Tribolium castaneum: one gene and its partner. The protein of the gene in region 2 purifies or fractionates together with the protein of the main gene of each other region. This does not show direct contact. Links are inferred from orthologs where the notes say so. Each region holds a gene or a part of one and is shown on either strand. Other genes may lie near its edges.

The links. Proteins that work in one complex are often made in the same cells at the same time.
Region 1: the proteins of eIF3h (region 2) and eukaryotic translation initiation factor 4B purify together in Homo sapiens (affinity purification with mass spectrometry; 3 studies listed by BioGRID and IntAct, with this or other methods). This does not show direct contact. The link is inferred for Tribolium castaneum from reciprocal best matches to the Homo sapiens genes EIF3H and EIF4B.

What each region holds. Positions count from the first base shown.
Region 1 is NC_087400.1:562,251-567,755, forward strand, and holds the start of eukaryotic translation initiation factor 4B, read right to left. Parts: upstream 2,880-5,505; 5' UTR 2,732-2,879; coding exon 2,722-2,731; intron 2,602-2,721; coding exon 2,467-2,601; intron 2,277-2,466; coding exon 2,095-2,276; intron 1,795-2,094; coding exon 1,672-1,794; intron 1,593-1,671; coding exon 1,394-1,592; intron 1-1,393. UniProt on the Homo sapiens protein: Required for the binding of mRNA to ribosomes. Functions in close association with EIF4-F and EIF4-A. Binds near the 5'-terminal cap of mRNA in presence of EIF-4F and ATP.
Region 2 is NC_087398.1:6,459,502-6,465,521, forward strand, and holds eIF3h (eukaryotic translation initiation factor 3 subunit H), read right to left. Parts: upstream 3,262-6,020; 5' UTR 3,112-3,261; coding exon 3,034-3,111; intron 2,938-3,033; coding exon 1,999-2,937; 3' UTR 1,956-1,998; downstream 1-1,955. Other genes in the region: SP555 (SPRY domain-containing SOCS box protein 3), read left to right, coding at 431-1,183; SelT (thioredoxin reductase-like selenoprotein T homolog CG3887), read left to right, coding at 3,405-3,559, 3,606-3,735, 3,782-4,105; vkg (collagen alpha-2(IV) chain), read right to left, coding at 4,699-5,121, 5,172-5,286, 5,339-6,020.

The sequences.
Region 1 (5,505 bases), on a different chromosome or scaffold from region 2:
CTCGAAAACTAAAAGTCGTAGAGCAATGCGGTTTGTTCCATTGAATTCAGCGGCTCATTTTCTGTATTATACCAACTTTTCACGAAATTTAAAATTTTCAATTTTTTTGCTAAAATTTCCTGAGTAATAATACACTTAACTTCAAAGAGGCGAAAAAAAAAATTTTTAAACTCACTCTAGTAAATTTTTATGGACTTCTACATGTCTTAACAACCCACAAAAGTTGTTTTTAGTCCACAAAAAGTCCATATGTTCGATTTTTTGATGTTTGATTTTTTCAATTTTCGTCGCAGTTTTTGTCGATTTTGGGTACCCGGAACTTTTGTCAAGCAATAGCTCCGGAACTATCAGAGATAACCCCATGAAGTGTATTATCGTTGGAAAGCTCTTTAAATTATCTATCTTTTTCAAAAAAAATTATTGTTCTCCGACTAATAGTTTTCGAGCAAATTGGAGACAAATGCAAAAATTGGGAAAATTTTAAAAAATTCATAACTAAAAAACTATTGGGAATTTGGCAATTTTCTCGATGCCAATCGATTCCCCGGATCATTTTGCATAGGAATGGATCAAAATAGTTCCACTTTTTCGAATAGTTTAGCCAAAAATGAGAAAATAAAAAAAATTAAAAAAAAGTTAACACCCCCCCCTTAAAATCGGTCAATTTTTAAAGTGTCTCTAAATCAAATAAAACCGATTCTATCTTATAGATTTTGATGTGCTCTTTCCAATCTAAAAAAGCATTTTCTCCTAACTCTTTTAGTTTGGCCGTAATCGGCGTTTGAAAATTGAAAATTTTTTTGCGAGATATCGCCTTGAGTCCTATGCCATTTTGTAGAGTTTTTTATTCCGGTTGTCCTCCATTTTTCCGTTTCTCGATAACTCTAATAGTTTCGCCGTAATTAGCGGTTGAAAATTGAAAAAAAGTGAAAATGGAAACCTTTTTTTGCGTTTTTCTCGGAAACTGTAAGACTTAGAGCAACGAACAAAAAAATATCTGATAGCGCTTAATTTTAGCTATTGTTTCGACCAAACCCGGAGCCGCTCCGGGCAACGGTTCCGGCTACAGAGGCGATCAAAGTTTTTCACTAAAAAAATTCATAAAAAAAAAACTAAAATTCGTAGAGCAATGCGGTTTGTTCGGTTGAATTCTACGGCTCATTTTACATAATATATCAATTTTTCACACGAATTAAAAATTTAAAAATTTTTGCCTAAATTTAGGGTGGCCATTTGTCATAGTGAAAAATTTTATTCATTAAAAAAATTCATAACTCGAAAACTAAAAGTCGTAGAGCAATGCGCTTTGTTCCATTGAATTCAGCGGCTCATTTTCTGTATTATGTAGTATACCTACTGTACTATTAAAACAAATAACAAAATATAAACCAACCATCACGCTCTCTATCTCTGCTGAATCCTCTCCGCTCCATGTCTGAATTTTCCTGTCTTGGACCCGATCTCCAGTCCCCAAATGACGACATGTCACTTCTTCCACCACGATCTCGGTTCATGTCCATACGGCCACCTCTTCTTTTGTCATTGTCGTAATCTGTGGCGACGTCGATTCGTATCCGTCTATTCTTGATTGTCTATTTTTTGTGTTTTGATTTTTATTTCAATATTTTTTTTATTCGAATTTTTATTTATTTATTTTTTTGATTTACTTACAGTATCGGGAATAACCAAGGCATTTAATAAACTTTCTCTATCTTCGAATTCTACGTAACCGAAACCTTTTAATCGGGGCGCTTCGCCGGGTCTTTCGTCTTTAGGGATTCGCATGTGCGAAATCTGAAACAAAGGTTATTTTAAATTCAAAGCAAAATCTTACTTAGTTGAAAAAAACATTAAAAAAATTATTATTATTATTATTAAAATCGCACAATAATCGGAAATCTGTCAAGTCAAGATTTCCAAAAATCGAAATTTTGCCATTTAGAGTCCCTTTATTGGACAATATAGGAACTCTACTGCCACCTATTGGTGAAAAAAAGTATCAACCATGTCTATAACAATAGTTTAGTTTAAATTATGTATTTTTAAATTTTTAAAGACCTAGTTCAGGGAGGCTTTTCTGTTTATTATTTTTACCTTCATGTTCTTGAAAAACGCCGCAATTTCGCTCTCGTCGACATCATACGGCAGATTGGTCAGATATGCGATAAATGGGGGCTCCTGTGGAACTTTATCAATAATATCGTCAAAGTCCCGCGACGCCTTGGGCGCTGTGGGCAACACAACACTTGCTTTGGCCGAGCGTGGGTCATACACATCTGAAACCGTAAAGGTCAATTATCTGGATCAAACCTTGAGGCTAAAAACGAATTTTGACACCCGAAAAACAAGCCATTCCCACTTCAGATTGAATTATTAATAGAATTTCAAACAAACGGCAACCATCGCGCACAGATCGATCGCCAAAATGCTTCCACATGCACAGCTTAGAGGTTAAGTACACTCTACCATGATTATCCTCCACTTCGTCGGCCCAATTCATCGTCGACTTCCTTATGGGCATGGTGGCCACAGGGCCGGGCGTCTCCTGCAGGAAGTCGCTCAACGCCAGCGTTTTGCCTTTGTTCTTTTTGCCCTTTTTGCCTGGAATTCGGAAAATTTCAGCGTACAATAAGGTCGCCACTACACGCGGTCTGCACGGGATTCGCGCTCCCAGCGCGTTCCCAAAGGCGGGACAAGGGGGAACATGTTGGGGAAACTTACCTGAAGCCATTGCTAGTATTTACAATAACAATAAACAGTTTTTTAACAATTTCAAATTTAATTTATTGTAAAAGCACTGTCACTGACGTACTAGACGTAGAAAATGTCAGATTCTTGACATGTCAACGGACGCAGGGTGGGGGCCACGACAGCGCCAAGTTCAAATTATATCCAATAATCGGCAAAAAATAATCACAAAACGACTTGTAGTCCAAAATTTCGGGTTAAAATTGTGTAAACACCCGAATAAAAACACTTGGTTAAACATTTTATGGCAATAATTCACCTAAAACGCAAATACTTTCAGTTCAAAAGTCGGCGAATTAGCTCGAGAAAAAATTTTCTTCCACTTTTTTTTCAATTTAATTCTCTAATTTTTTACCAGATTTCGTCAAAAGATACGGGGCGTATAAGTTGATTCTACAATTTTAAAATTGTTTTTACCTTTTTTGTGACTTTCAGCACGTTTTTGACCGAAAATGGACATAATTTCTCTAAAAATCACCAAATTTATGTATTTTCTAGTCAAAAATATTGGACGTGCGCAAATCCTGCTGGATTCGCAGTGGCCATGATTTTTATTAACAATGTTTTTCAATGTTTTTTCGTTTATTTTTTTATAATTTAAGAAGTAAGTCATCTAAGGATTCAACGCGAAAGTTTGAAGTTATGTTTGACCTTTACGTTTATCTCTTTTTCTCTCAAAACAAAAGTATTTTCCCTTTATTATAATGTGCTCTTACGTTTACAATTTGGCGCCTTTACGTACTTACCTTTTGCCGCATTATTTTCTTATTTCTGTCAGTTTTATGCTCCGCTTTACGTTTAAACGTCTATGTGTTCTCTCATTTTCTTATTTTTGCTTACGTGTTGTTTCCTTACCTTTTCCAAACTTTTTTTCATAGAAAAATTTTTACTCTGATCCGAGTTCGAACCCCGACCTCCTGCGTCGTAAGTGGCGCTTATACCACTAGGCCACCAAGGCCCTAGGTCCTGACCGTGTTTTGCAGATATTTTAACACAAACTTTTTGAATAAATCAACATTACAAACTATATAATTGCAATAATTTACCTAAAACGCAAATACTTTCGGTTCAAAAGTCGGCGAATTAGCTCGAGAAAACATTTTCTTCCACTTTTTTTCAATTTAATTCTCTAATTTTTTACCAGATTTCATCAAAAGATACCGGGCGTATAAGTTGATTCTACAATTTTAAAATTGTTTTCATCTTTTTTGTGACTTTGAGCACGTTTTTGACCGAAAATGGACATAATTTTTCCAAAAATCACCAAATTTATGTATTTTCTAGTCAAAAATATTGGACGTGCGCAAATCCTACTGGATTCGCAGTGGCCATGATTTTTATTAACAATGTTTTTCGGGACTTTACTAAACAATCTCAGTTAACTAAAAATTTTTAGACATAAATTAAATGTTTTCGTTTATTTTTTTATAATTTAAGAAGTAAGTCATCTAAGGATTCAACGCTAAAGTTTGAAGTTATGTTTCATCTTTACGTTCATCTCTTTTTCTCACAAAACAAAAGTATTTTCCTTTATTATGATGTGCTCTTACGTTTACAATTTGACGCCTTTACGTACTTTTACTTTTTGCCGCATTATTTTCTTATTTCTGTCAGTTTTATGCTCCGCTTTACGTTTATACGTCTATGTGTTCTCTCAGTCTCTTATTTTTGCTCACGTTTTGTTTCCTTACCTTTTCTACACTTTTTTTCATAGAAAAATTGTTGCCGTGATCCGGGTTCGAACCCCGACCTCCCGCGTCGTAAGTGGCGCTTATACCACTGGGCCATCGGGCCCCAGGTACTGACCGTGTTTTGCAGATATTTTAACACAAACTTTTTAAATAAATCAACATTAAAAACTATATAATTGCAATAATTCACCTAAAACGCAAATACTTTGAGTTCAAAAGTCGGCGAATTAGCTCAAGAAAACATTTTCTTCCACTTTTTTTCAATTTAATTCTCTAATTTTTCACCAGATTTCATCAAAAGTTATCGCTTATTTTTAAGGAAAAATTACCTGAGGATTCCGAATTTGTGTCCATTTTGTTCTAAAAATTGTAGTTTTGGAGAGATTCAACTAAAAAAAAAAACAAACAAAAATTGATATATAATGACTGCAGTCCTTTTCGCTAGCTAATTAGACAAATTAAACACAAAGAATAAAAAAAAATGTCTTGTTTTGGGAGAGGACGGGTAAGAAAGCGTCTCTTTATTTCCATAAAAAAGCAATTTTATTTATATATGCACATACAAATAGGTATCTTACGAACAATGTTTTATTTTGGTTTGTCCAAACTGGAACCAACACAAGTTGAGTTTTAGAGAAAGTACTTACAAAAAGTTTATGTCACACATAACAGATAACAAGAAATTAAAGCGTTAGCATGTCCATTACAAGCCAAACAAAAAAAGACAAAGCGCCCGATTTTGTCAGACTTGTATAAATTTATCAAAAATCAAGTTTCTCAAACTTCGACTTTTAGAATATTTTAGTCAAATATTAGTTCCGACTAATATAAAAATAGTGTGCCTCAGCCACCGGTTGTAATTTTAGTAAGTTTTTTTTAAATCGGACGGCCAAAAAAGATCCTTCTACAAAACGTCAAAAACACCCACATTGTGGTACGGAGAAATCTCTGAGACTATTAGTATCATTAGAATCTTACCTATAAGCTTGTACTGTTAAATTTAATCTTCATTGTATTTGGTCGGCTTAACGATCGAAAAACATGGCTAAATTGGCACCGTTTTGTC
Region 2 (6,020 bases):
TGTTTCAATTGTGAGGTTTGTCTTGACTTATGTTATATATTTTTGTGCTTTGCTGAGTTCTATGTGCTTTTGTTTTTATATTAGAAGCGTTTTTGTTTTATTTTAACGGATCCATCACTTATGGCAGGAACATTTTCGTTCAAATTTTGACCGTTTTTTGATATGGATGGACTAAGGAATGTTATCTTCACTATTTTTTTTTAATTTAGATGAATTCCTGTACATAGTGAGCCACATTAAGGGTTGAAAAAAAGGTGGAGATCTCAAATAAACTGACTCTTTCGTGTATAAAATTTATTAAAAATACGTATTATATTGCTATTATTTATCTTCGACACTTGGGTATATGACGTTTGCGATTTCCAGCGTGGAGGACGTGCCCCCCGCGTGGGAGGAGTCCTCCGCATAGCAATCGAAGCGTTCCGACTCCATGGAGTCGGAACCGGTCCCCCAGCCCCTGCGGCACGGCTGCGACGACCTGTGGACGTGGAACCGGTGGGAGCGCAGCCCCGAGGTCCGGCTCTACGGCAACAACTTCCGCATCGCGCACTTCCACCCCAACTGGAGCAGCGGCACGGCCGGCGTGCGGGGCACCCGGGTGCTGAACAACGGCCGCTACTTCTGGGAGCTGCACATCTCGCGGCGCATCTTCGGCACCAGCATGATGTTCGGCATCGGCACCAAGAAGGCGCGCCTGCACGCCGACTCCTTCACCAACCTGCTCGGCGAAGACGACCACGGCTGGGGGCTGTCGCACAAGGGGCTGCTGTGGCACGGCGGCCGCTGGACGCACTACACCAAGCCCTTCCGGGAGAACATGGCCACCAAGATCGGCGTGCTCTTCGACGGCATCGCCGGCACGCTGAGCTACTACAAGGACGAGAAGTACCTGGGGGTGGCCTTCCGGGGGCTCAACGAGGTCAAGGAGCCCCTTTACCCCATTATTTGCTCCACGGCCGCCAAGACTGAGATGTATCTGGATTCGATGAAGAGGGACTTCGTCAATTTGCAGGACAGGTGCAGGGCGGTGATCGTCAAGAGGATTAGGAGTAAGCAGGATTTGGAAAAATTGTTCGTTCCGACTAAAATTAGGAGTTATTTGGCTGAGGCGATTGTTGACAGTGTTGAGCCGTTCAAACCCGTCAATCACAACACGATTTCGATTAATGTCGGGAATATGTAGGCGTTTGATTCGACAAGTGAATCACGTGGATAAATAAAAGGCAAACTAAATACTTTTATTGTTGGTCCACACTGTATATGTATTTGTACCAAAAGGTTTTCTCGGTACGTGTGTATAGAAATGTAAAACCGTGGATTTGTCCATGTGCCATTTTAAAATTCTGTAAATACGATAAATGGGACGACGCCAGTGGTGAATGTTACCTAGAGTCTAGTCGTAGTGTTAAGCTATTTTATCAATGTAAAATGGGGAATTTTTTCAAATGAATTAATCAACATTTTTATACTCATGACACGATTTTTCTTATTGATTGAACTGCTAATAGCGTAATACGAAACGATTTATTGTGATTGATTATCTAGTCTTGTTTTGTTGTTGTTTTTCGTGTGTTGTTTGTTATTGGTTTGTATGAGTTTGAGAAAGTTGCACAAAAAAGTGTGTACATTTTGGCCAGTTTGTGCAATAGAAATGTAAATAAATAAAATTCATTTCTTTAGGTTCGTAAGACTGTAATGACTAAATTGATGTTTAGGGCAATTGAATACATTATTTTTTAAAAGCTGTGTCCTTTATTTCAATCAAAAAACAACAAAATCAACATAAACGATGAAAAGGTTGCGAATATGACTTTCTCCACTGTTGGTTTAGTACCATTTTTTAAGGGGATGATTAAACGTTCAAACGTAGAAATTTCACAGAAGAGACGCCACCACAAAACCTACTGACTGCGCCAATTAAGCTTTATTACGCCTGGTTTAAATAAAACCCAAACTCATTGTATATTATTTTATTGTAAAACAACGTAACAAAACAGTTCAAGGATTAGAATTCGCCTCCTTGGCGTTCTGCAACGCTTGCGTAATATACAACTTAGCCAAACTCTGCGAGCACAACTGGGAAATGGCCTGACTATACGTATTAATCTGTCCCGCGATAATCATCGGGTTCAGCCTCGGGGGCACCGGATGTGGCCTAAACAGCTTATTAATGTCCTCTTCGGGCAATGGGGGCTCGTCTTTCGCGGCCCTAGCCGCATTTTCCTGCGCCCTCTTTTGCAAATATCTGTGTTTGTCTTGCTGTTGCCGGCTGACCAACTGTTGGTATCTATTAAACTTGATCGCTTCTTGGTTGAGTTCGTCAACTCGGTCCATGAGGCAGCGCAATTGCCCCTCGAGGACGGAGGCGGTTCCCAAATCTAAAAATTTCGAGCCTTCTTCTTCCGGGACAAGTTCTTGCAATTCGGACATCATGATGTTGGTCAAGGCGGAGTTTTTAATAACGAAGGGGACCTCGATGAAGAGGTTCTCGTATCCGACTTTGAGCTTCAAGAGGGCCTCGGGCGTGAATTCGCCCTCCTTGTACATCTCAATGGCTTGAGGCGTCAAACGGTAGGCTTTAAGTGTGAGGAACCCGCGCGAGGATTTTTGAGTGTCGTAAATCACAACGACGGATTCCTCGATTGAGGTTTGGTAGTGGAATTGCGATTCGAGAAGAGGGAGGCTGAGGAAGTTCCCGACGTCGGCGCTTTGGTACCACCCCACATGGAAGTGGTCGACGTTGACGCGTCGCAGGCGCCGCATCATCGCTAGCTGGTACTCGTCCTCGTCCATTGTCTCGTCGGTTTGTTTCGGGAATGGGAAACAATTCGTGATTTCCAGCCGGTTTTCAACGACAAGGCCGAGAAGGGCCCCCTGGGCTATGTCCATGTTAGTGGTCGATTCCTCATGGCAGTGTTTTACGATCTTCATGACGGCCTGAAAGAGGTTAGGTTCCGTATGTTAGGTATTAATTACTAACTGAGGTAGCCAAAGTGTGACTTTTGGGTTTAAATAAACTGAAGGGATATTTACCAAGCCGTCGGCTTGCACGTAAGCAATCGTCGAGTCATTTTCAGGCACACGCCTCGAAGCAGCCCCACGAGACGCCATTTTAAACTGCCAAAAATACCTGCCAATGTAGCGCAAACAAAAACTCCACAATTGCTACAAAAACACAATTTTCGTAAAAATTGCCAGCCGATAATGGCCTTATTTAACGATTACGTTGTTTGTTACCAAATTTTGTAGCAGCTAACACAATCTCGTGTTTTTTGGACGTGAAATAATTATTATATTAGTGTTTTAGGCTGATCTAGTCGGTGTCTAAATTCCCCTACGTTTCCACCAGTCCCACCTGTCATTGGAAATTTATCAGCTGACGAGAGCATTAGAAAGCAAAATAAATGGCTGGTTTAAGACAAATATCATGTTTTTGGTATTTAGTGGTGTTTGCGGGGCTGTGTTTTCTCGAATCAAACGGTAACGTAGCAGCTGAAGACGTCCTCCCGTCGAAGCTAAGTCAAAATGTTGGGGCCCCAACCTTAAAATTTTTGTATTGGTATGTTCCCCTAGCCCCAATATCATAATCTAATTATTTAATTTAGTTATTCGTGTGGTTACCGGAAAACGTTCGAGCAGTACGTAAAAATCGTTGGGGACAAATACCCTTTTATAGCCGTTGATGGCCAAAATTACGACCCCCCAGGCTTGAACATGTATTTGGCCAGACTTATTGTAAGTATGATATAATGAGTGAAAGTTGATGATTATGCGTTTTCAGGGCATCGTTAAAATGGTGATAATCGTGTGTATTTTGGGGGCTATTAACATATTTGAATACATTAACCAACCACAGCCTTCATGGTGGATTTGGTGCACAGAAAACAAGCTTTATGCTTGCATGATGCTGTTCTTTGTGTGTAATATTATCGAAGGACAGTTGATTCAATCGGGGGCTTTTGAAATCTCACTGAATGACGTTCCTGTTTGGTCCAAACTGGAGACGGGCAGGATACCACAACCTGCAGAGCTTTTCCAAATCATCGATAATCATATGCAGTTCACTGACAGCAAAATTGAACTGAGCAACGGATTCCCGAAGTAAAGTTACTATAAATTTCGAAAATGATTGTTTTGTTATCAGATTGTTCTTTTTTAAATTTGTTGTGAGTCTGGTAGTGTCATTCTATAATTTTTTGTCTGGTCACTATCACACAGCGTTCAGTATGTTTGAATGTATGATTTATAAATAACTAGATTTGTGATAAGTAAAAGTTGTACATAAAGAAATTGTCTTCTTATTTGATACCTAATAAAACCCAAAAACTCATCGTTTTTATGATTTATTCATTTGTTACATTACAAAATCATTTGGCAGTGTTTAATAGAAAGGCACATAAAATATGAATCACATTTTCCTGTCGTAAGCCTTAAAACTAATTAGCACCTTTGAGATAAAAAAGATCAAAAACAAGCAAGAATTCAAGTATTAAAAAAATAAATTCTATACAAAGAGCCACTGTCGTAATCGCTTAAATAAAATTAAGAACCTAAATCCTTACAAGTAAAAAATATTCTAATAGGATTTGTGTTTGAACACGGCGTACGTTCCTTCTCAAGGACAAATGTTAACATCAAATCTATGTTACAATTAATTTACACATAATTACAAAGTTAATAACTGTTATGGCACGTCGATCACGGCGTATTTTGCGGTCTCCTGTGTCTCAATCTCTGCCTCAAACGCCTCCTCCTATTCTCTTCCAAGTTCCTGTAACTTCCTGGTGGATAGCCTGGGGGCCGATACGGGGTCCCGTATGTGGGTCTTGTGATTCGACTAGGGGTGACAATTGCAGTGCGACTGGTGTACCGTCTGCGGATGCAAACGGCGCATCTGCTGACTCTTGAGGTCAAATAGCCGGCTTTGAGAGTCTCCGAACGCGGTTTTTGGAACATGGCTGAATCCTCTATGGTGGCCAGCCAGTAGGACAGGATGGTGGTGTAGTAGTTGCAGCGGCCGTGACCGTGGCATTCGATGAAGGGTTTGGGGCGGAACTCTTCGAGGCATGAGCCGGGGGAGACGAGGGATTGGCCTGAGCCTTCGGCACCGGCGTCCACGTGCTGCAATATATGTTAAACAAATGTGGGTTCGAGGGGGTGAAGAGAGTTACCATAAGGAAGCTGTATCCGGCCCAGAGTTCGTCCCAGCCGTTGGGACACTGTGGGATGGTTGTCGATTGACTGTGGACGGCGATGACACGTGTGACAGATTCGCAAACGGAGCATCTGAAAGCAAAACGGTTAAAAATGTACAAAAATAGAATATGTTCGTTCATACCTTGAAATATAGCGTCTGACTTCTGGTGCTGGGATGGGTGTCATCATTGCCGGCATTGGCTCTGTCGTAGACAACCAGTAACTGTACCCATTGTTCTGTGCGTAGTCGCAAACATCGTTCAAATTACAAAACAGGAACGGCATAGTATTAAATCTCCTCAAACAACTCGCTGGCGTCCCCAAATCTTGCCCCATGGCCTTATCATTCCCCATAATATGTAACAACGAATAGCCGTCCCACAATTTAACCGTATCTCTAGGACACACTGGAATTAATTCTGACTGCGAATGTCTCGTAAAGAAAAATCCTCGACTTTTGGGGGCCGGTGGTGGCGGTGCTGGCTCGCCCCTAACCCCAGGTGCCCCTCTGGCTCCTTGTAAACCTGGCAATCCTGCAAGTCCCGGTAATCCCGCCATGCCCTTAGGTCCTTCAAACCCTGGTAATCCGTCAATCCCGGCATCACCACGCATCCCTTTCCGCCCGATCAAACCAGGGAATCCGGGTTCGCCCGGTAAACCTTGAAATCCGGGGAGTCCGTCAAAACCGGGTAAACCGGCGTCTCCTAAAGGTCCCGGAAGAGCGTTAATGGACCAGTCTCCCCGATCTCCTTTCGGTCCTTTGACTCCTGACGCACCAGGGTAGCCTGGAGGGCCGACGTCTCCGGGAAATCCTGGAAGACCTT